Linked DNA regions of Bombyx mori. The main gene of each other region encodes a partner of the protein of the gene in region 2 in a complex. Links are inferred from orthologs where the notes say so. Each region holds a gene or a part of one and is shown on either strand. Other genes may lie near its edges. The genes, in order: cleavage and polyadenylation specificity factor subunit 6 and transportin-3.

Evidence for each region.
Region 1: the proteins of transportin-3 (region 2) and cleavage and polyadenylation specificity factor subunit 6 are in contact, whole or in part, in a crystal structure (PDB 6GX9), measured with the Homo sapiens proteins. The link is inferred for Bombyx mori from reciprocal best matches to the Homo sapiens genes TNPO3 and CPSF6. Residues at the interface, in NP_036602.1 of Homo sapiens: Arg620, Asn656, Arg657, Glu660, Arg661, Arg664, Arg667, Phe668, Arg671, Ser698, Cys699, Tyr702, Ile706, Asp709, Asp747, Asp750, Asp751, Arg754, Arg758, Gln761, Cys793, Arg797; in NP_008938.2 of Homo sapiens: Tyr521, Arg522, Glu523, Arg524, Ser525, Glu527, Arg528.

Annotation. Positions count from the first base shown.
Region 1 is NC_085120.1:8,916,616-8,928,904, forward strand, and holds the end of cleavage and polyadenylation specificity factor subunit 6, read right to left. Parts: intron 9,644-12,289; coding exon 9,428-9,643; intron 8,779-9,427; coding exon 8,667-8,778; intron 8,009-8,666; coding exon 7,671-8,008; intron 7,223-7,670; coding exon 7,135-7,222; intron 6,672-7,134; coding exon 6,570-6,671; intron 6,230-6,569; coding exon 6,132-6,229; intron 5,984-6,131; coding exon 5,735-5,983; intron 5,234-5,734; coding exon 5,025-5,233; intron 4,207-5,024; coding exon 4,159-4,206; intron 3,850-4,158; coding exon 3,751-3,849; intron 3,247-3,750; coding exon 3,069-3,246; 3' UTR 1,626-3,068; downstream 1-1,625. UniProt on the Homo sapiens protein: Component of the cleavage factor Im (CFIm) complex that functions as an activator of the pre-mRNA 3'-end cleavage and polyadenylation processing required for the maturation of pre-mRNA into functional mRNAs.
Region 2 is NC_085118.1:957,739-970,027, forward strand, and holds part of transportin-3, read right to left. Parts: coding exon 11,520-12,289; intron 10,926-11,519; coding exon 10,746-10,925; intron 9,927-10,745; coding exon 9,763-9,926; intron 5,411-9,762; coding exon 5,194-5,410; intron 3,268-5,193; coding exon 3,112-3,267; intron 2,993-3,111; coding exon 2,748-2,992; intron 2,674-2,747; coding exon 2,353-2,673; intron 79-2,352; coding exon 1-78. UniProt on the Homo sapiens protein: Importin, which transports target proteins into the nucleus. Specifically mediates the nuclear import of splicing factor serine/arginine (SR) proteins, such as RBM4, SFRS1 and SFRS2, by recognizing phosphorylated SR domains.

The DNA.
Region 1 (12,289 bases), on a different chromosome or scaffold from region 2:
GGAACATAGATTATACACTGTGTTAAAAGACGGACACAAATACTAACTATGTATAGCGAGCGGGCATACGGCCGCGAGAGTGACGTACCGGTCGATTTGCTAAACGTCTTTTTTAAATACATCTTTAAAAATAAAATATGTGATAGTATGTTACTGCCATTTACAGGAACAATGAGGAATTAATAACAAGCCATAATAATAATAACTAGTGGCCGACGCCCGTAAACAGAATGTGCATAAGAGAAACAACCTAGCTCGCTTTCTTCCTCTCTCCAAGGTCGAGTGCGAGATGCTTAAATTCTGTATGGAATTATTGTGAAAAAATAAATGAATAAACAGATGCCGCTTTCTAAAGTTTTATGAAATTCTAAAAACTTTCAGCATCACCTTCGTTAAAAGTCTAAAAAAATATTGCAATAATATCGACTCAGCGTATTTCTGTTCTATCACGGACAACTGAACAGAAACCAGAACATTAAGTTCTGAAAAGAAAACCTCGCTTTTCATTCCACATCTGTTTTTATAAAACGATATTACTTAATATGAAAAAATATTTTGATTGTATAATATAATATTAACGGAAAACTGTTTTTTTTTTTCCTGCCTAAGCTGATAGGCTATATCAGCGTCGCCTTAACTAGTAGGTGAGCTCACGGGGCTCAACTCTGATGAGGTTGCTAACACGAACCCTAGCAAGAGCAGTGCTTCGCAGAATCTACCACCGGATCGGAAACGCAACCCACTGAGATCTGGCGAGAAACTCAATAGGCTGAAAATTGGTACAGGATAACAATCATTACACGTATAGACTAGGTAATTAATGTCTTATTTTAAACAATATGTATTAAACATTTCTTTGCTAAGTAGAAGTGTTATCAACGGTGTCCTATCCGCGTAAGTAAAAGGTAGATGACACCAGAATCTCTAATAGAAACATCAGTCTATATTCATGTATTGCATCTACATGCGTGACAGATGGACAGTATTTCGATTAGATCCCTGACCATTTAATTATTACTATATTAAAAAAAATCAATGAATCTTCGAAACTTTTTAATAAAAATGTACTCTTCACATTCCGGTAACGTAACTAATTGAAACCCACTAGATACTAAAGGATTACTTATTTAATAAAATGTAGATATTCAACTCCCGAATAGTAATAGCACTTCTCACTTTATAACTTGGATTTAGCCCGTATGATCCCTCTACGACTGTGTTAAATTTCTCAAACGCGACCGAAGCGACTCTGTGGATTTAGTTATACTAGATTCCTACAAACTTACTTCTCATATCAAAGTTTATGAATCTTGCCAATATTAATCGACGTGCCAAAGCCGTGTAGGACACCGTCTGGTTCTGACATACACAAGACCTAAGAGGATGATAATGACAGTAGAAATTCACCTGTAGGATATGCATTACCTAATTAATTCGTTGGTTGGAAATTTGACCAGTTCTAAACGTGCCGATGGCCAAAAATTTTACACTTGCCGTCCTTTCAACGGCCCAAAATTTTTCTTTCTACAATAAATCGACATCGACTTTCTACAATCGAAACAGCAGCCAGTAGGTACCCACTCACAGTTTGGTAACTTATATATTAATTTAATAAATAATGAAAATGTTTTGAAATAAATTTATTTTATTGTAAATTACATCTTAATTTACGGTCACGTCTAGTTTGTATGGAACAATCCATAAATTGTTTGAACTTAACCTAATACTTACGTTTAGACTACTACAAAATAGGAAAATACAAAAAAAAACCACGAATGAAAGTTTAAAACAATTCGCAAACATTTAGACCATGGAATGTTGTGACAAACAGCAAAATTGAATTTTAAACATATTTGGTTTTAAGGTTCTTGTTGGACTAATTCAATCCATTAACAATCAACATGAGTAATATTGATACTAAAAATTATAAAATCAGTCACAATCTTAATTTTCAGATGTTTCATGGCTTTAGATTGAAAACTGCTTTTATCGATATAATTGTGTAAAATGTTTATTTGAAATAAAAACTATTTATATTTTAATCTTTATCAATTGTATCAAAAGTATTCAAGATAATACTAGGATATTTTTGACCTTTTTCAATAAAATTTTCATTACTAGCGCACTTTTCTAATTTTGGATAATTTGCTATTGGTCGTGTTCTGATAAAATGTTTCTCTGTTTTAAATATAAAGTTTATCATCCTTTTTTAACCTTATAAATATACCATGCGTGAATGAATACAATACATTATTAGATGTTTGAAAACGACTTGTCGGCGTTGGATAGGTCTTACGTTAATTTTCTACAGTCACACTTGACTGTAATAAGTACAGTGATTTGTACCAAGAGTGTAACCAATTTTCGTAAAACAAACGATATATCTGAGACAAATGGGCATTCCGGGATAATACTTACTAATTTGTAATAAACTATTTTGTCATCTAAATTAACATAACATTATTTTCATCATCAGTGTGAATGGATATCATTTTTACCATCACTATTTAATGTTTCATGTATGAGACCGATTTTAATTTGAGATGTTTGTTTCATATGAAGTTGAAAATAATGAATATCTAATCTGTCGAATCAGGCTCTCGATTACACTAAACCGCCCTAGCAGCAGATCAACTCGATCCACCATCTTTTGATCAACAATTTGAAGCTATTTTCGTGGCAGTATCAGTAGTTCACGCACGCGGTCGTCGCCTCTGACGCACCACACAATATTAGTTTACACCAAAAGTCACTTGATTAGACTAGGCTGACGGAACGATGTCGGTGTCACCACATATAACCGCGCAGTCAATGAATTTTGATTCGCATGAACGTTGCTCAAACGAATTATTTTAAATTAAATCAATCGTTTGTTTGAATTTAGAATCAGAAACTTTCGCGCCATTTTTGTAAATCCCTTTTCCGCGCAAACATCTGTCAGAACTGTCAAGTGTCAATTTAATTCCACTTCAACGTGACGCCGGCCCGATAGCAAAAAATCTTGGATGCCCTAATTGGTCAGCTGATGTGGCGATATTGAGTAGTTCACTCAATGGTTCTTTTAGTGTCTAGTGTCTAGCGTCCCTGCGATGGTCTCGGTCGCGATCTCGATCCGCGGGCGGCGGGTCTCTGTCGCGTCTCTCCCTGTACCGCTCGTCGTAGTACGGCGCTCCAGTGCTGCGGCTCTTCGACCCGGCCTCGGCTGTGGTTCCCTCTGCTGTCGCTTCAGCTGGAGATTTACGTGCCCTGTTCCCAGCAAAAAAACACTGTTAGACGGACAAACTTAAAGACAATTTGAATTTTTACAGAAAAAAATTCTCTCTCTTTGCAGTAATCTGATATTACCAAACGGGTCAGTCAAGCTTTGAGATATTGATTATTGATCTCTAACTTCTAATTAAATTAAAAAATTAAATAGATTCAATCAATTTTTGATAGTTAAGAGCTCTGTTCTAAGTGTAAAAACTGAACTAATCGAGAATTACGCAATTTGTTACGTCGTTGATCAGTGTCTGCTGCTCGTAAATAAAAGAAAATCTTGCAACTTATCAACATAAAACAGGCAAAAGAAAACTAAAAACTAAGAATGGTGTATATTATTTTGGTTTTTTTCGAGACGGAGCTTCAAAATATAAGCCTTAAAACAGAAACACAGAAAGAAACAGATTTCTGTCTCCCTACATATACAATGCAAATTGTATTATTAGACCCAAATACAGATGGTGAATTTTTACAAAGATAAAATCACACCTCTCCTCACGACTGTGTCCCCTGTTGTAATGATCAGCACGATCGCGATCCCTCGAGCGAGACCTCTCGCGCTCCCTCTCACGGTAATCCCTGTAATACCTGAAATAAAACAACATTGATTTTCACTTACCATCTGTTTACACATAAGTAATCGAGTTAGATGTGTAGTGATGACATAACTGCCTTGTTCTAAATTACAGTAAACGTAATGGAAACGTGAGCTTTAAAAGAAACTAGTGATGATTAATCAATTGAATTCGGTAAAGATTAGTTATCGAAACGTCAATAATGAGATATACATATATTCAATATTAGTACATAGCACACTCAAATAAATATAAAACTGACCACTCATTACGTTTACCATTTCAGGTTGGTGTTATTTTCAATTTAAATCAAGGCACTTACGCGTCACGTTCACGTTCGCGGTCGCGATCTCTCGACCGTTCCCTGTACCTGCAATAAATTGCTTGCATTCAACTTTACGGGTTCCCCGGTTTTGACCTCATTGTAAAGCATTTTTTTAAAACACGGAATTCGTTCAAAAATCATTTTAATTCTCGATAAAAGTACTACTTTATATAAATTTACGAACTTACGCACATGCGTTTGTAAATTATTATTTTATTTTCCATTAAAAATTTTAAATGTTTATGTTAGTTAGTTTGTGGTAAGGAAAAATCATGACGTCCAATTAATTTAAGCTTACAGTTGTGGTTATCATTATTGGGAGATAGAGAGTATGGTGACCGTCTTTGGCAGAGTATCAGTATCCCGTCAATATCTGGCACGTTCCGGTTTGAAGAGGAACACTGCCATTATTGGGACTTTTTGTTAATGAAGTTGTGTTTTTGTTTTATTTTGTCTGTTTAGTGTTTCGTCAGGTTTAAATGTGTAATAACGGTGGTTTATTAACTGTTTAATGTCTGTGAAAGTGCACAAATGTGAGAAAATGAAACAAAGGCGCTTGACGTAACTTCTCGGGATCCTCCAAAAAGTCCACTGAAAAAATCTCAGAAAATGACCACCATTTTACTGAGATTATATTTCATCCCATATCATCTTATTTCATTTAATTTCATCCCAGCTGATTAATGTCTCTAATTAATAATATTCATTTAATTTCACTCCATATTATCATTTTTCATAAAAATAAGAATATAAATTATAATAAGATATGACTTAAAGGTCTTAGTTACCAGGTCATAAAATCCATTTAAAAAATTGCCGTTATTATAATACAAGAAACGTTCCAAATAATTAACGGCGCGTACCTGTCCCTATCCTCTCGGTCGCGGCTGCGGTCCCGGTAGCGGCTGGAAGAGCGGTCGCGGCGGCGCGGGGCGCGGTGGTGTCGCGGCTCGCGCTCGCGGGACCGGGAGCGGCGGGACCGCTCGCCGCTGCTGTAAGACTTCGTCTCGACGCCGTGCAGCGTGTCTTGCAGCGACGAGATCAGAATCTTGCAGCGGTCGTCTTGCGCCACCTGAAATATTCAATTTACATTCGTTCATTTCATTTTCCTTTATGCATAATCTACATATTTAATACGTGAAGCAAAAACATTGTATCCCTTTTAACGAAAATTGCCCGGACGTAGGAGTATGAACTTTCCCACACTTATAGAGAATATAGAGAAGAAGTGCAGAGTGCTAATATTTAAAAAAAAATGCATTAAATCAACAAAGAAAACATTACACACACTACCGTGTATTTGACACAACACATACGTATAAATATACTCTTTGTAAATTGTCAATTGTGAAACTTTTGTTATTCTTTAAAGTCCATAGTCAAATTGAGAATAGATTAGTATTGTTTGTCTTTAATATTATTTGTCTACAGTTTCACTCTCTCAAATAATAAGTGTATAATCTATGGTGGTAGAACCAATAAGAATGTTCAAACTTCTAATTTAAATTAATCATAGTCGAATTTCGACTACTGCAGGGACCACTAGTGCTAATAAAAATACAACGATGAATACCTTGCTCTGTTTAATGAGTGATATGGCGGTAACGAGCGTCTCGATGGCGGAGGCGTACTCGCCAGCGGCAGCGTCACTGACAGCCCGAGCAATGGCACTGGAGGAGACGGTGCGGTTCCTGCTCATCACCTCTTCGAACTCGGCCTCGCTGATGACCGGCATGGGGGGCGCCAGGGAGGCCGCGTGCTGTGGGACCATGGGTGCCGGGTGGTGCGGGGGACGAGCCGGATCCGCTTGAGGCGGATAGCTCTGTAACATTATTACGTGATACTAAGAGGCCCGACAACATTATTTTAATGTTTATGCTACTCTGTAGCACTATAGAAAATAACGACCTTATTTTGTTTCATAGATTGCAGAATATAGAGTTCAATTCATAAATAATGAAGTCAATTACCTGTGGTGGCCGACCGTACGGTTGTCTAGACCCGGGTGGAGGCCCTTGTGCTGGAGGTGGTGCTCCATGGGCTGGATGACCGTACGGAGCACCTGGACCTGTTCACACAAAAGATTAATCCTTTTAACTACTTGATCGCAACTATCTTGAATTTAAGGGTAGGTAAGTATTTGGGCAATTATCATATTACTTGATAAGGCAACTTGTTTTTGTTCGCTGATCACAAAGATGTATCTGTCGAATTTAACCTCTGTAAAGATCTTAACGTTTTCATCCAAATTTACGTAATATATTCGATTCGTATTCTTATATGCAATTGATTAAGAGAGTCATCACCGATGATAGTGATGTCAAAACATGAGACGATGGTTTGAGCGTTATACTGGAAATTTTGATTTTTAGATACCATCATTTATTTATGTAAAAGCTATAACTTACCGGGTGGTCCAGGTTGCGGGGCCTGCATTGGCGGCGGCTGCGACGGTGGCTGCTGGTTGAAGAACGCAGGATTCACGTGTGGTGCTGGAGCTCCAGGTATTACTGTTTAACATTAATGAAAATTGATTACTTAATTAAAATTTGTAATTTAATAAAAACGAAACAATAATTATTATAAATGACGACTTTTCTCAAATGACGCGCCCAGTTTAAAGAGCGAGACTATTATTTTAACGTTATCGAGATTTGTATCTCAAATATTACCGTGAACCACGATATTCAGATTGTGAACTCATGGTACGTATGAAAAACGAACATGAATGCATTCGTTTCTGTATATATATTTTTTTATTGCATAGATGGGTAGACGAGCTCACAGCCCATCTTATGTTAAGTGGTTACCGGAGCCCATAGACATCTACAAAGTAAATGTAGCCACCCACCTTGAGATACAAGTTCTGCTTCACTGCAGAGATAGGCAGGGTAGTAGTAACTAGCTGTGCGAACTCGTAAGAGGTCCTACCCTCAGTCTAAAAGTCAGTTTCTGTGCTAATATATGACTGACCAGGATGCTGCGGCATGGGCGCCGGTCCCCGCGGCGGCTGGTGCGGCGGCAACTGGTGCGGAGGCGGCATGCCCTGTGCGCCGGGTTGCTGAACATTCATTATTTTAATTATAACGTTTCATTATTACTATAAAGAATAATTATAATCATAGGCTTGTATGTTACATCAGCAATTTGCGAGCCCCCTGTTCCAGAATCTGAAATTTTTGCAAAGCGAATATTCAAGGGGCGAGTTCCCCCAATATGAGCCGTAAAATAATTCTTTACGATCACGTAATACGAGAGCAGATGAGCTGTACACATGAGGATGAAATTCGTATCAATCAAGAGTTCATTAAGAAGGCCTAAGGAGACGACGCCGTCATATTATTACCAATGCTCAGTTAGTATTCGAAAAAGTATGTTTAAAGACCTCCTTACATGAATTTCGTCGGCTATCTGACGGCATCTAAATTTATTGCATTTATTCTATACAAAATAATAAATTTGGATGATGTGGATGCCTAATAGTAATCACGTGTGCAGTATATACATACAGGATGAGGTGGTGGCATCTGATGCGGCATTCCATGATGGGGGGGTCCATAATGAGGCGCGGGCTGAGACATAGGATGCGGCGCTCGCGCAGCCCAGTCGGGAGGCGGCGGACGCGGGCCCGGCGCGCGTTGCATCTGCGGAGGGCCCGCAAACTGCATAGGGGGCCGGTGTGGCGGGGCCTGGTGCGGCTGCGGCTGATGTTGCATGGGATGCGGCCCGCCCTGGTGTGGGCCCATGTGGTGCGGCGGCGGCCCACGAAGCTGGTGCGGACCCGGACCTGGGAGCATCATACGAGGTCCGCCCCCACCTGGACCGTTCGGTCCCCCACCAAAAAATTCTGCGAATATAGTAACGGGTTCTTACGATTTTATGTTTTCAAGTGCACCATATTTGGGCGTCGTTATAAGCGCTGTGATCAGGGGTATCACCCCTTTAGTTACCATATACTACCCATTAGTCAATAAAAAAAAAAAATTGCTTAGATGGGTGGACGAGCTCACAACCCACCTGGTATTAAGTGGTTACTGGAGCCCATCGACATTTACAGCGTAAATGCGCCACCCACCTTGAGATATAAGTTCTAAGGTCTAAGGTATAGTTATAAAGCTGCTCCACCCTTCAAGCCGAAACGCATTACTGCTTCACGGCAGAAATAGGCGAGGTGGTGGTACCTACCCGTGCGGACTCACAAGAGATCCTACCTACCACCAGTAATTACGCAAATTATAATTTTGCGAGTTTGATTTTCATTACACTATGTTATTCCTTCCCCGTGGAAGTCTATCGTGAACATTTGTTAAGTACATATTTCATTAGGAAAATTGGTACCCACCTGCGGGATTCGAACACCGGTGTATCGCTAGAGTAATGCTCCGAATGCACCGGACATCTTATCCTTTAGGCCACGACGACTTTAGAATAATAATGATATGTTTCTACTTTTGATGTTTCGAATATTTTATCGAGACGTATTAGTATACGATTACAATATGTACCTCCGGGATGAGGACCAGGCGGCCCGCCTGGATGGGGTCCTCTCATTCCAGGATTATTGGGACCAGGAGGCGTCGACCTGGTCTTTGACTGACTTTCAAACTGATTCAACGCCTGTAGACATTATCAAAGTTTACTTACTTTCACTGAACCGAATTAATTCATCTATATATTTCCTACGCTGCTAAAACTATTATATTATTTTGATTAATATCGGTAGACTATATTAATTACCGATGGACAAAAAAATTACAAATACTAACTTAGATACTACTGTCCACCATCTCAAAACCATGTGGAAGTCAATAGCTATCATATGGCCGAAGCTATTTACTCCTCAATTTTACCAAATGGTTTGCAAATCAATTAACAGAAGCCAATCTCCATAACCATTACAAAGTCGCGGTGGTTTAAGATTCAAAATTTTCTTTTCGGATTTTTTCAATGAGTAGCCTCCGTGAAAACGATTCGGACATTATTGAAAGCTTTAATGTTGCAAAAGGTTTATTAACCACTTTAGATCCATTATTAAAAAAAATGTAAATTCCTTTTTTGTTTTAATTTAAACCACGTTTCAACACCTCATCGCGACTCACGCATTGCCCGAAACCATATTTGCAGAAACTAATCTATTACTAGGAAAGGTTACTAGGTATATTCATCATGAAACTATTTGTGCAATTCATAAGTACCTAATCATAAACTATCTATCTAGTGTCTACTTATTATGCTCATATTTTGTATCAGTTAACATTGACCTTACCTGTTTAGTAGGCAATGTAACTACTGGATGTTGCCCGTGTATCTCCTTCTTAGAAAGACGTTCCATCACCATCCTGACTGATTGATCTGAACCGAGAGATATAACGCAGAATCCTTTGGACTGACCATTGGCTCTGTTCTCAAAGAACTTCACATCTTGAAAATCGGAGACACCGACATCCGAGATCGCGTTCGCAATATCTTGGTCCGTTGCCCACTGGAAAAGGTTTTACACAAAACTCAGCCACGCTGCAAACAGGCAGCCAATACACACAAGTCACATACATCATTTATTATGCCATCCAGTCCACTTACATGCCACTTAAACAAAATCGGTCGGGGTAAGGTTCAATTTAAAGCGCCGTTCACACGCCGTATTAAGATTTTTTTCATTAACACCGAATTATCGAGAAAGTGAATTTACAACACCGCGCTTACGTCTCATAGTAGATCCGATGATTAACGTGAATAAAAATATTTTGAATACTTTTGTGTACCTTTTGACGCGAATTAAAAATCTACAATGTACTTTTCATCAACTAAATCATTAAATATGCCGGAATAGAGCTTTGGGTGAAAAGAAAGAGCTTTTTTGTGATCATACTATTTATTTCTTTATCACAGATAATTTGCATTATAAAGTTTTTTTACAACTCCGAATACTCCAACGGTTACATACTGAAAAAAAACTAGAAGGAAAACAACCATTAACAAGGTAATTATAACATGAACACATTACTTGTAAATGGTATTTCACAAGTCAAATGAAGAAATAAATTTAACATGTGGCTAAACACACACTGATTTTTTTTGTGTGCAAATCAGATAACAAAATTATCGTATCCATGCACTGATACTAGATAGATTTAATGCAATTAACAAAACTTGAAACGACAGCTGTTGAAAGTATCCTTTACAAAGAAAATAAATACTCTAAAATACACACATACAAAAAGTGTTAAATATTATTTATAATTTACACAATCAGTTGATGTCGCGGGGTTTTTTTGTAAACTACCTACATTATTGTTTAGATTAATTTGCACAGAGCAGACGAAACAGTTTGGACCAGGCGATTTGTTTGAGTTATATAATTTATTTATTTTATTTGTTACGTATTACAACATTTATTGTTCGCCTCTACATTTCGCACAAGAATGTTGATATCTCTTCAACATAAGTATCGAAAATCTTCAGATGTATGCAAAAAAATAGCAAAACATATGTTAAAATAATTACTAAAAAACTATAAATACAATACAATCAATTACCTTACCTCGTAACAAACCTGATAAAAGAATAAACAAATCATTACAGATGGGGATGTCAGAAAGTGAAAACTTTCAGCTCAATATCCCAATTTATTGATCAAACACAAGCGGGACAAATAGCCAATTTTACACTACTGATTCTATTATGTACTATGTGATGACTATGTAATGTTTATTTTTTTTTTTGCTAATTTAGCCTATCAATAATCTGATACAGGTAACTGTTTTTCTGACTAAACCGCAAATTTATGGATATTCAATAAATAAACACAACAACATTTTCGGAACGATATATCAAAATTTTGTGTGCGTACAAAATCACACAAACGGTTTCAAAACTTGTTGCTGCAGACATGTTACATCATAATTAAGCAAGTTACTGTAGTGTAGTTAATGGGCAAAAATGGTATTTATATTAATTAGTACATCAACTATTATAAATAAGATTATACATCCTTTCATACTTCATCTCTCACATAATCTTACCAAACCCACATCTACTTGTATGCAAAATATAACTGCAATCTGTGTTGTTTAAGTACACAAACAGAATCCATCTACGTAAACTACGCCAACTCGATTTTGATGATATTCATTTTCTACTGCTAGTATCTTTATGATATGATGATATATATGATTTTATTGTAAAACTCACTGTCTGTATATTTTTGCTATCGATTTGGCTCTATCTCGACAACAGATAGCCTCAAAAGTAGAAGTACAAAACAAACGGAAGAATATAATATAACTTAGCAGTATTATGAAAGGTTATGTAATGCTTTCCACATGAAATAATTTACAATAAATTGCATTACTAAAACAACTAAAATCATATTTAACTTAAATGTTATGTTACAAAATATTTTAGTTGTTTAGTTTCACCTTTTGTAACATTGGGAGGGTAGCATAAATCAATGTAAAATTAAATTTAAATGCAAATCGTAATGTACAATACACCAGGTAAAATAGCAAGAGTGCATTTTTCAATCATAGTTTCAAAATATAAAAGAAGCATAAATAAACGGCTTGACAAAAAAAAAACAAAAAATAGAAACACAGGTTGATAAATTTAAATGGACATACGCAGCAAATTTGAACAAGTTAGAAATGATGTGGCACAAAATTTAAATAATTATCTTTTTTTTTCAATTTCTTTTTGTACTTATATTTACAGAAAGCGCAGTTTACGTAGACAGGTGTCAAGTTTAAACCATTAAAAACTACCTTATATCATTTGTAGAATTTGAGGATTGTCTCAAATTTTCCAAAGTGATAGTGCAGATGAGACTACATGGCCATAAGAGAGGTATTTACATGTTTCGGTGACAGAGCTTGAGGAAGTATAGCAAAGTATAACAGTTTATATTCTACACAATTTTAATTTTCTATTACCATGAAGGAGTTACTAACTAAATACAACCAATTTCATTACAAACCTTTTCTTTACCATTTATTAATGCATTGCTAGATTTCAAAATTCACCTACCATTAATTAATCGGTAAATGCTCTAAATCCGTAACTCAAACTGTATCACCATGTGTGATTGTAAATAGCTCTGATATTCAATTGTCCTTTCGGAATTTCTCAACTT
Region 2 (12,289 bases):
GCGGCGGAGCACGCGCACTGCAGGATGCTGCCCATCACGCCGCACGACAGCAGCTGCACCGGCATGCGCTGCAGGAACCTGCGCGCAGACCGCGCCCGCGAGGGCTCACTCACCAACATTTCCTAGGCTATTATACATTTAGTCCTTCAATGACCCAAAACAACTATTTCAACCAGTGAACTAACTAAACTTTATTAAAGTTCATATTAATTCATTAGCGCCGTATTATTGATCACGACTAACACGTGGCTATGCATGATATGACTTGGAATATTTAATTAGTTTTTTATTAACAATGGAACCAAACACATGTGATTTTGTTGATTTAGAATGGTCGACTAAATTGAATAACAAGTAAAAATTCATTTAAGGTTTAAGTAACCCATTATTTCCATTTTATTTCACTCTCGAAAGACTAAAGTGCTCTATGAAATTAAAACTTTGTATTTTTTTATGTAGTGGGTGTTTTATAGCTGTAACTATAAAAAAATTCTTCAGTATATTCATAATAAAAATATTAATTTTCTAAAAAACTTTTGTGTTCCTTTATTTTTAGGGGTATGAATATAAAGATTTGATAGGTTTCTTGGATAATGATGATGAAAGCTGCAATGTCGAAGCGATTTGTATCGAAGTGCAGAACCTGCTGAATATTCCGGTGAAGGTTTGGCAGAAGTGCGGACGGCCACGCAGACAACTTGAGTGGACGTAGACTTTTATTGGATTTTGACATATACCAGGGGAACAACCCTAGCTACGAACCCCAAACTAGCCACGAGGTGTATATGAAACTGAGTTTAAAAAAGCGGCAACATTGTTAATGCAGATATTTGATAGTTTGCTAGAACAAGGCTGTCCAAATTACATACCTTTGCGGGCTAATTAAACTTACTACATAAGCTGGAAAGTATAAAAGTGGCTGGGCCACAGAAAAATATACTTTTAAAAATAGAATATTTTCCGGGAGCTCCCCCAATATACAAGTACAAGATACACTTTTATATGATCTCAGGGGAATGGAAGGTTACAAAAGAATCTTTGATAAATTATACCAAATATTGGTTATATGTTTTGACAAAGTGTTCTATTATCCAAAACATTTTCTAATTAAAACATACAAAATGTATTTAACATTACAACAAAAAGTTTTTTTTTTTTTTTTTTTTTTTATTGCCCTTGTAGGCAGACGAGCATACGGCCCACCTGATGGTGAGTGGTTACCGTCGCCCATGGACTTCAGCAATGCCAGGGGCAGAGCCAAGCCGCTGCCTAGCGCTTAATACTCTCCACAAGCCTCGTTTGAATTATTTATTAATTATTTTAATTAATAAATAATTAATAATTACGTAATTATTAATTATTAATAATTACGTAATTACACTTCAAAAATGGTTCCACGTAAATAGCTACTGCGGAGGGCGGGGCTTAAAATAGCTACAGAACGGCGCGCCAGTTCGCTGTGGCACTCGTGTCGTGCGGTCGTGTTGCCTCAGTTTTCGGTTGACCAGATAATTATTATTTTGCGCTTTTTAATTTTGTAAGTATGCAATCGTGTGTCGTGAAATGGTGTAAAAGCCATACAGATATGAAAAACAGCTGAATTAGCTTTCATAAGTAAGTATACAAACATCGTAAAATTTCATACTATTGGTGATGGACAATGTTATGCAATATGCACGATTACTTTTTCTATGCAGTAGTAGTTCTTTATACTGCTCGGATAAAACATAAGTTTTATTTAAGTAACGAGTATGACATTATGCAGCGATAACAAAAGATTTGATTACTGCAGATTTCTTAAAGATTTCCTACAAATGAAATTCAACGTAAAACATGAATAGCCGCTTGTGATAGTACGCTTGGAAAGAAATTAAATAAATTGGACACTTTCAAAAAGAGGCCATGTACATACTTGAAAGTGGTATTCGTGTGCCTTACACCTTGTATACTAGTAGTAGTAGTAGTATTGATTTTAAGATTAATCATCATATTTTTAACTCATGTACTGACTTATAAACTGCATTTATTTCTATTGCAGTAATAAAGTCATTTAATAAAAAAATGAGAAAATATTTCATAAATTCATTATTACTGCATAATGTCATCGTCATAAGGGTGCGCTTGCAAACCGTCACGTTGGCGCGACCAATCGCGTGCAAGCGTTTGTTTATGAAAGAGTATGAGTGTTCGTTGTATTTGCTTTTATTTGTGTGCGTAAATGGAACCATAATCTAAATTGGAATTGAAGGCGAGTTACTGTTCCATAGTTTTATTATTCGTAGTATTTAGATATTTCGCGTGTTGTGGACTTGATATTATACTTGAAGTAACAATAATGAGGCGCTCTCTGACCTGATGAAGAGCCGGAACAGATCGTCGACGGTGTCGGGGTGGTCCCTGAAGCCGTGGTCCCGCTGCAGCAGCGCGAAGGCTGGCGGCAGCAGGTCGGCCAGCAGCCCCGCCAGCGCCGCCGCGCAGCCCGGCCGCGCCGCCAGCTCGTCCACCAGCACGGAGCACAGGTACAGCACGCACGAGTGCGCGTGCCGCGGGTACAGCTGCGCCAGCGCGCCGCACAGCGCCGGCAGCAGCGCCGCGCCCGCCCCGCGCGCCGCCCGCACGCCGAACCGCGCCGCCCGGCACACGCGCTCCATCACGCGCTCCTCGCCGCCGAACCTGCAGGGTGCACGCGGTCAGTGCGGGCCCCACGCGCCTGCACCACGCGCCCGCACCACGCGCCGCCTACTCACTTGTCCATGACGTCGATGAGCACGGGCCACGCCTCGGTGAGCGCCGGCAGACACGGGTGCGTTTCGGACGCCGCGACGTTTTTGAGGTCGGCGGAGAGCGTGAGGTCGCGGTACAGCGCGGCGAGCCGGTCGAGGTACAGCACGGGGTCCGACGTGGTGCCGCGCTTGATGGGCTGCCGAGCCGAGCACAGCCGACGGAGACCCTCCAGTTGGGGGGCTGACGCTTCGCAGAGGGCTGCGCTCATCTGAAAACAATTATTGTATTCTTTGTATTCTGATTGACAACCTGAGTTATTAGCAATATTAAGGATATAACCATATTAATGAGTACAATAAGTCCGTGCGGTAAGGTATGTGCGGGTACCTGGTCGGGCGGCAGGCTGGCCACGACGGGCGCGACGGCCCGCATGAGCGCGGCGGCGGCGGGCGGCGGCGCGGCGAGCTGGTCCAGCGCCTGCACGGCGCCCAGCAGCTTGCCGATGTGCTCGGCCGCTCCGCCGGGACACGCCTTGCAGATGTTCTGTTGCGTGACGTCACAATGTAAATGACCTTGGAACGTAATGTGGGAGTCCTGATGGTGTGGGGACGCGCTCACCGAAATACTAAGTAAAACTTAATATAATTACTACAACACTTAAACGTCAATGTCACAATTCACTTTTCCACTTCGCTTCAGGTGTTCTGTTCGCTGGTTCGCTTCGAGTAGAATTGTTTAGTGACTGCCTCCACGTCCTCTCTACAATTTTCTATATCCGTTTTCGCTTTTTACTAACAGATTATCCGCGCCACCACATCACTTCTCTGACACTCCCGACGATATTAGTTGTTTTGATATCCGCTTCTGATATTTGTTGACAGATGGCGTTACTCGTACCGTACGTAACAGTGAGAAATTATTTGAGGCGAACATGCTGCTACTACGGACATGTAATTCGAAATTACAATTTTTTGAAATCATATTTTGAAAACAAGAGGGAACCCTATTATTCAACTTAAATTATACTTGATGTTAGGAGACCGCTTCCGAAAACGAAGACAGAGAACAGTACTAATGACACCTTTGATGATGGGACAGAAAAATTCGATCCTGATTTTAAAACGTTTGATGATGTAAATAGGGTTCACTTTGATTTGCGTACTATCCGTAAAGAAAAACTGCGTGTGTTTCAACGACATTTATTGAGCGACTGACTTAAGTTTTGACAGGTAAGACGATCATATTTATCAGAGTATATAACCACTACGTTTTTACCTTGATCTTGCGCCAGGCTGATAATTAATAACAACAACGTTTTATTAGCATTATTTACGCCCCATCACGTTAGTACAGCTAAAATCAATGATAGTTTCATAAAAAATACATTACTTTACTAAAAAAAAAACCAGCAATGAAACACAAAGTCAAGAACAGCTGACGCTCGGATCAACGAACGCCCGGGCGCGACGTTTCTTATACATGCACACCGGCGCGGCGCTGAGACCGCGCTCCCCAAATTTTACAACTTTGTAGGTACAACATTTTCGTTTTCGGGAACAGTCTCCTAACACCCAGTATATATATATCGACGCTTGAAAGGCAAACGTGACTATGCGACAATAACTGCTTTGTACATAAATGATAGGCAATAACCATATTGGATGCGCAAAAAAAAAAAATTATATTTCTAGGTCTATTAAAATAATTCCAATCCTACCGTTAGATTCGTTAAAATAGATTTTTTTTCAGGTATTTCAACTTTAAATTATTAGTCTACTGTAAAGTTCACGCATTGTCGCTTAGTCACGTTTGCCTTTCAAGCGTCGATATGTAGAATAGGGATCGCAGCGCATAAAATAAAACTTCCACTGTTCAACAAAATAAAATCTTCTGTTATAATAATAATTTAAAAATTAATTAACACTTTTATTACGCCTTGCTCATTTTTGAACCGTCTTCGCCATCTTACTTTTCTCTATCATTCTGTCTGTAATTCTCTTCTCTCTTTCTTTCCGTTTTCTCTCACTCACATCTTAACGCTCCATTCCACACTCTTTTCATACGTTCCTTTCTTACTAATCCTACATATATTTACGATATATACACATATTAGACACCAAAACATAAAAAACCTGTTCATTGACGATACTGTAAAAATTCTCCATAGCTTGTCGCTAACAGTCCTTTTAAGTGTTAGGCTATCAGTGTAAGGCAGCCTTTCCCAAAGTGGGCGATAACGCCTACTCGCGGGCGCTGCAGGCCTAAAGGGGGGGGGCGGTAAGAAACCCAGAAAAAAATGGGGGCGTTGTGTAGAGACTTGGGAAGCGATTTGTAGCTTCATCTAGGAGGACTCTTAGACACCGACTGAGCTCTCGCTAGTGGTTTTTAAGTAAGTGAAAAAATAATTGATTCTCAAAGTGGGCAGTAGACAAAATAAGTTTGGGAACCCTTGGTGTAAGGTGACGTTACCTGCAGCGCGGTGGCGGCGGGCAGCGCCAGCCGGGGCTGCGGCAGGGCGGCCAGCAGCATGGCCACGCAGGGCGCCAGGCACGACGCCGCGTGCCGCTCCACCCAGTCCGCCAGCTCGCCCAGCAGCAGGATGCACGTGGCGCGCACGCCCAGGTGGCTGCTGGAGGGCATCGACAGTATCGCTTCCACCACCTTCGGCACGTATTCGTATTCATCCCTGGGAAACAACAAATCTATTTTTATAAGACCCTTCACAGAGTTTTTCTTAATAAAATGTGTAGAGGTATTTTTCATTGAGCAGTTTTTTTCCCTATCTATGCTGATAGCCTTGACAGGCTATTACAGCTTCAGCCTAACGTGTGTAGGTGAGCTCACGGGGCTCAAACCGGAGTGTTGCTAACACTAACCCTAGCAAGAGCAGTGCTTTGCAGCATCTACCACCGGATCGGAAACGCGACCCACTGAGAAGATCCGGCGAGAAACTCAGCGGGATGTATATTTATTTAGATACCGTTTGGTCTTCTTTGATCATTTGAAGTTTAAACCTTAGAGCGCGAACCGTCGACAGACCGACTCTATGAATGCGTATAGAGTGTGAAGCGTCAGAATAGCGACTATTGCGCTGTCTTATAATAGGTATCGATCATATAACGTTTCTATTAAGTAAATAATATTTATTACTAACCATTTAAAATTATTACATACATAGTACTTATTACTTTTTCGAAATTCTCGGATTAAAAAATGTACTCGCTGATATTGAAAAGTCTATTGGATATTTTGAGTTGTTTTTTACTTCTCTGGTCATCAAAACAGCAGTAAAAACATCCCAGGGATACCAACCAGATCCAAACAAAATTTTGGTCTAGAGGTTAAAAGGGACGAAGCTACCACCGCCCCGCCTATTTCTGCCGTGAAGCAATAATGCGTTTCGGTTTGAAGGGTGGGGCAGCCGTTGTAAATATACTGAGACCTTAGAACTTATATCTCAAGGTGTGTGGCGCATTTACGTTGTAGATGTCTATGGGTTCCAGTAACCACTTAACACCAGGTGGGCTGTGAGCTCGTCCACACATCTAGGCAATAAAAAAGAAAAAAAATACATACACTTATATGACTGTTTCATTTGAGCAGTTTAACATGTCCCTTACACATAGCAGAAAGAATTACGAAAATTCCTCTACATTTGAGGAGAACAATAAAGATTCTGTGCACACTTAATTAATAAGGTATTTTTTTTTCACAAACCTTTAGCACTTTTCGCGAAATATGTGAATTTAAGCTCAGCACTAAAATAATTAAAACACTGCTATATACATGAGCTCTACCCGGACGACAAATAGTATGAGGGTGGATATCTTGCGGTATAAAATAGGTAGTCATCATCATCATAGTTATTACACTAACAATAACATCCGTTGATAGCATCAATCCTCATCATATGCCCAAGAAGGGTGACCGGTCGGACCCATCGAGTTATAGGCCTATCACGATAACTTCCTTGCTTTCCAAGGTGATGGAGCGAATAATAAATACGCAACTCCTGAAGTATCTTGAGGATCGCCAGCGGATCAATGACCGACAGTACGATTTCCGTCATGGTCGCTCAGCTGGCGATCTTCTTGTATACTTTACTCACAGGTGGGCTGAAGCCTTGGAAAGCAAGGGCGAGGCTCTCGCTGTGAGCCTTGATATCGCGAAGGCCTTCGACAGGGTCTGGCATAGGGCACTTCTGTCGAAGTTACCATCGTACGGAATCCCCGCGACTCTGCAAGTGGGTCGCTAGCTTTTGGATGGGTGGAGCATCACGGTCGTTGTAGAACGGCGACGCAATTCCAATGAGTATCCCTGCAACCTTCCAAGGGCATTGGGATACTTGGGGTCGACATTTCGAGCGATGTCCAATTTTCAAGTCATTTGGAAGGCAAAGCCAAGTTGGCGTCAAATATGCTGGGATTCTTCAACAGAGCGAAGCGGTACTTCACGCCTGGACAAAGACTTTTGCTTTACAAAGCACAAGTCCAGCCTCGCGTGGAGTACTGCTCCCACCTCTGGGCCGGCTCCCAATACCAGCTTCTCCCATTTGACTCCATACAGTAGAGAGCCGTTCGGATTGTCAATAATCCCATTCTCACGGATCGTTTGGAACCTCTGGTTCTGCGGAGAGACTTCGGTTCCCTCTCTATTTTGTACCGTATGTTCCTTGCGGGGTGCTCTGAGGAATTGTTTGAGGTGATTTCATCATCTCGTTTTTATCATCGAACCGCCCGCCACCAGAGTAGAGTACATACATACTGCCTGAAGTCACATTTCCAGAGATCATTTTTGTCTCGTACCATCCGCCTTTAGAATGAGGTCTCCCCTCCACGGGGTTTCCCGAGCGCTACAACATTTCCTTCTTCAAACCAGGCTTGCAGAGACTATTAAACGGTACTAGGCTGCACTAAAAGTATCGGGAATGGAATATTTCCACTGTTCCTGTCATATTAAAATCTTTTTAATTGAAAACTCCTTGGTTTTAAAAATCGAATACCATTTATTTATTTAAAAAAAGTTTCTCGGTCTTGTTTTGTCAAACGAGGTTTTGTCAAACTTGTTTAGTCGTTGAGAAAATGGAATTGACTCGAGAAAATTCAAGAGCGATGATTTATTATGACTTTCGAAGTGGTTTAACACAAAAACAGTGTGTTGACCGGATGATTTCTGCATTTGGTGATGAAGCCCCATCCAAAACCACAATTTATCGCTGGTTTGCTGAGTTTCAACGTGGACGTGTCAAGCTCAGTGATGATCCCCGTCAAGGTCGTCCAAAAACTGCAGTCACCCAAGAAAACATTGATGCTGTGCGTAAGCTGATTGAGGAAGATCGACATGTGACATACCACGAAATTCAGGCAACTTTAGACATTGGCATGAGTCAAATACAAATAATCTTGCATGAACAATTAGGTGTAAAAAAGTTGTTTTCCCGATGGATACCGCATTCGCTCTGTGAAGAGCAAAAAGCGGCTCGCGTTACTTGGTGCGTCAGAACTCTCGAAAGATTACACGCAGGATCCTCAAATGCTGTATACAACATTGTATCAGGTGACGAATCCTAGATATACGCGTACGAACCCGAAACAAAAAACCAGTCACGAGTTTGGGTGTTCGAAAAAAGTTAAAGCCAACAAAAATTGTTCGTTCACGGAGTGTTGCAAAAAAAATGGTGGCCACGTTTGTCTCCAAAACCGGCTATGCTACGACTATTCCTCTTGAGGGACAAAGAACGGTTAATCCAGAATGGTATGCTAGCATTTGTTTGCCACAGGTCGTTTCTGAACTCCGTAAAGAGAACTGCAACCGCCGCATCATCCTCCATCACGACAATGCGAGTTCTCACACCGCGCTCAGAACAAAAGAGTTTTTAGAGCAAGAAAACATAGAATTATTAGACCATCCGCCGTACAGCCCCGACCTAAGCTCTAATGATTTGTATACTTTCCCTAAAATAAAGAATAAATTGCATGGACAGAGATTTTCATCACCTGAAGAAGCTGTGGACGCCTACAAAACGGCCATTTTGGAGACCCCAACTTCCGAATGGAATGGTTGCTTCAATGATTGGTTCCATCGTATGGAAAAATGTGTCAAATTTCGCGGAGAATACTTCGAAAAGCAATAAATACATTTTTAAATAGTAATGTTGTGTCACTTCGTTAATTCCCGAAATTTTCAGTGCCGCCCTCGTAAGCAGCAACTTGGCTCTGCCCCTGACATTGCTGACGTCCATGAGCGACGGTAACCACTCGCCATCAGGTGGGCTGTGTGCTCGTCTGCCAATAGGGCAATAATAATAAAAAAAGAATAAGAGCACTACACAGTTTTGTTTTGTTCACTATTGCGTTGGAAACTTTTATCTGCAGAATGAAATAGTAGAAATGACTGATACTAAGGACAATGAATCGACTAGCTAATAATTAATTTAAAGTAATAGTGTAAGATGATTTTTAATACACAGCCATGAAACGAAAATCATGGTTTAATATTTGTTAAACCACAACACTGACTGATTTTCTCCTATGTGGTATAATCAAGTGCATGAGTGCTTCAAGAATTAACATTTCTGTATAGAGGATGGATATGTAAAGACCTTTGAATAAAGGTGACAAAGTTGTCACAGAAATAACCCCTACTTGCTCGTCAAATAATGTAAGACCTCGCATAGCTCGGAAAAACAGTTTTAGCAACAACCTGCAGTTAGAAACTATAAGTTATCCTCCATATTCGCCAGACCTAGCCCCAATTGATTACCCCCTTTTCCACAATTCGGACAATTTCCTGCAAGGAAAAAATTTTGTTCTCAGGAAGTGGTACAAAACACCATTGTAGACTTCAGAGAGTACAGATCCTGAGATTTTTTTTTCTATAAAGGCATAAGTTGCCTTCCCTTGAGATACTACAAATTTATGGATAAGGGGGGTAAATATTGAAATAAGTTTTTCTTAAACACAATATTTCAGTTTTCTAATATGAAATGTAAATAGAAATTTCATGCTTTAACTTTTAAGAGCAAATTTAAAAACTTACGGTAAGATATTTCTAGCAACAGATTGCATAACAAAGAGAGCAGCTTCTGTCTGTTCCCATGAAATGTTAGATTGTAATGCAGCAAACATTTGTCTGAAAACTGAACTTGATCCCACTATGAACACCACATCCTTGATCAGACTCATCACTTTTTGACGGAATTCCTGTAACAATATTGATTAGGGTAATATTGATCTGGGTATCTTCAATATACACTATTATTATACTTATACTAATACTAATATTACTACATAAAAATATTCTAACTAACAGTAAACTCTTGGCACTTTTTTTTTAATATCCAATTATTAAGTTTTCATAATAAGTTTTGAAAGCATTGCATAGGATTGTACCACCACTCTACCTGCTTTTTATCCAAAGTAATCATGAATTCCAGTTTGCAGGGTAGTATATATATATATAGTATATTCACCACAATTGAGACTTCAACTTTACTTGTCAATATATGTGGCAATATTGATGTTCTGACATCTAGGGGCTCCATTTACATAACATTAGATGTCCAAGTGAAAGTGTGAGCTTGTCTACTATAATCGCCAGTAAAAAAGCAAGTATCACAGCTGGGGTAGCTGGGGGTAACCACAAGCATACTTTTTGAGCAGTTTTCTTTTGCTTTTTATTAAATTAAAATATTTCCAAATGCAGAAAAACTATAATTTCCTATAACCTTGACACTGCAAAAATTTAATAGCAATATCATTCATTTAACATTTCGTCGTTGTCAAACCAAAATCTGCTGCTATAGTTCTTAAAAATTCACTTTTATATAAAATTTCATACGATAATGTTTTTACTCGTTAATTCAAAATAGAGTTTTTGCACATAGATTTTGGTTTGACAGTGACGATTTTCAGACATGTTGTCTGAACTCTTCCTCATAATTGTATTTCAGGCATCCTTATGAATATACACACAGTACTGAGACAACAAACTTATCTGTTACAAAGTTTTAAAAGACCTACATAAAAATCATCAGTTTCGTCGGGCAATTGTGTCAAGTCAGGTTCACATTGACAATGCCTTGCCAAAGCTTCGATCAACCTCTCTATATGAGGTTTAAATGCATCTGTTAATGGTTGGTGATCTCTCCTGTACACTTCCTCTGATAATCTGTACCATAAATTAAATGTTATTTCTGCCACCTGAAAAAGAATAAGAAAAATTCTGAGTACTTTTATATATACTATAGTTATTAATATTCAATATAATTGTGCGTGGAGCATACAGTTAAGTGCTATGGATATTTTAAATATCATTCATTATAATTTCAAATTTAGACCCCATGTCTAAAGATTAGACATGTCTAAATGACAAGATAAAATATTCTAGTTGTAGGCCTGAGGGAATCATATGATTAACATCATACTTAACATCAAGTAGAATGTGTTTGTTTATATTTAATTAATCTAAAAGCTTATTAATCCACAAGAGAAATGGTATCTTCATCTGCATTATCTATCTGTTAACTTTGTAATAGTTACATCACTATTACAAGGCTTACAAGCACTATTAATAGTAGAAATTTAGGATTTAAGATATACATCTTGGGAGATTTACCAGAAAGGAGAGTATAAATCAGTTTATATAGATATAAACAAAATTCTCAGGTAAGAAGTAATCTGAGATTAAATATTTTAAATCATTTCAGTATTAATTTTGTATTGTACTGAAATTATTATTTACTGTTTATTGATTTTTAATTTGGAGAAAGCATTTAAGAATACAATTATTCTTACCTCATAGTCATGATATCCAACACAAACTAAAGCTAATTCTAATGATTTCATTGCAAAATGTGTATTCCCATTATCAGTACAATCAATTATTTTCATCAGAAATGATTCAGCTAGTTCTGTGAACACTCTGGCGTAATTGGACACTTTTTCCTCTTCCTCATGAGCAACAGCCAAGTGGTAGCTTTCTTCTAATGCCACCACACTGTCAAATAGCAATCTGTCTATATTTTCATGGTCATTAACTTCTTCCAAGCATTGTAATAGTGCACATATACAATCAGAAGAAGCATCATGCAATGTGTTGATAGAATTGTGGTCTCTCAAAACTTGTAAACTATATCCTATGACAGTGTTCTGGGGTATCTCATGTAAGTTCACGGCTCGGACTTGCAGCCATGATGTCATGCACTTTATAGATTTTAAGCCCACATTTGTACTGCCTTGTGAATTATTCAGACATTGCTTAAGAAATAACATTACTGTCTGTGAATTCAAACGTAGTTGGGATTTTATGTCTTCTCTGCGATTTTCACCCAATTTTAAATTCGAAGAGTCAATTTCCTGAGGTAGTAATGTCAAAATCTCCAATAGTAGATATTCTTTGTTTGAAAATAATTTTATGAGGTCACTTATGCAGTCTTGCCAAGATGGCATTTGGAGGGCAAGATCCGCCAATGCCAAGCTAAGCTGCGTGAGAATTGAAGATGTGGTGTCCGGAGTCGTGCGCTCCAGGTGAGCTATCAGAGTGTCACGAAGTGGTACATGAGATT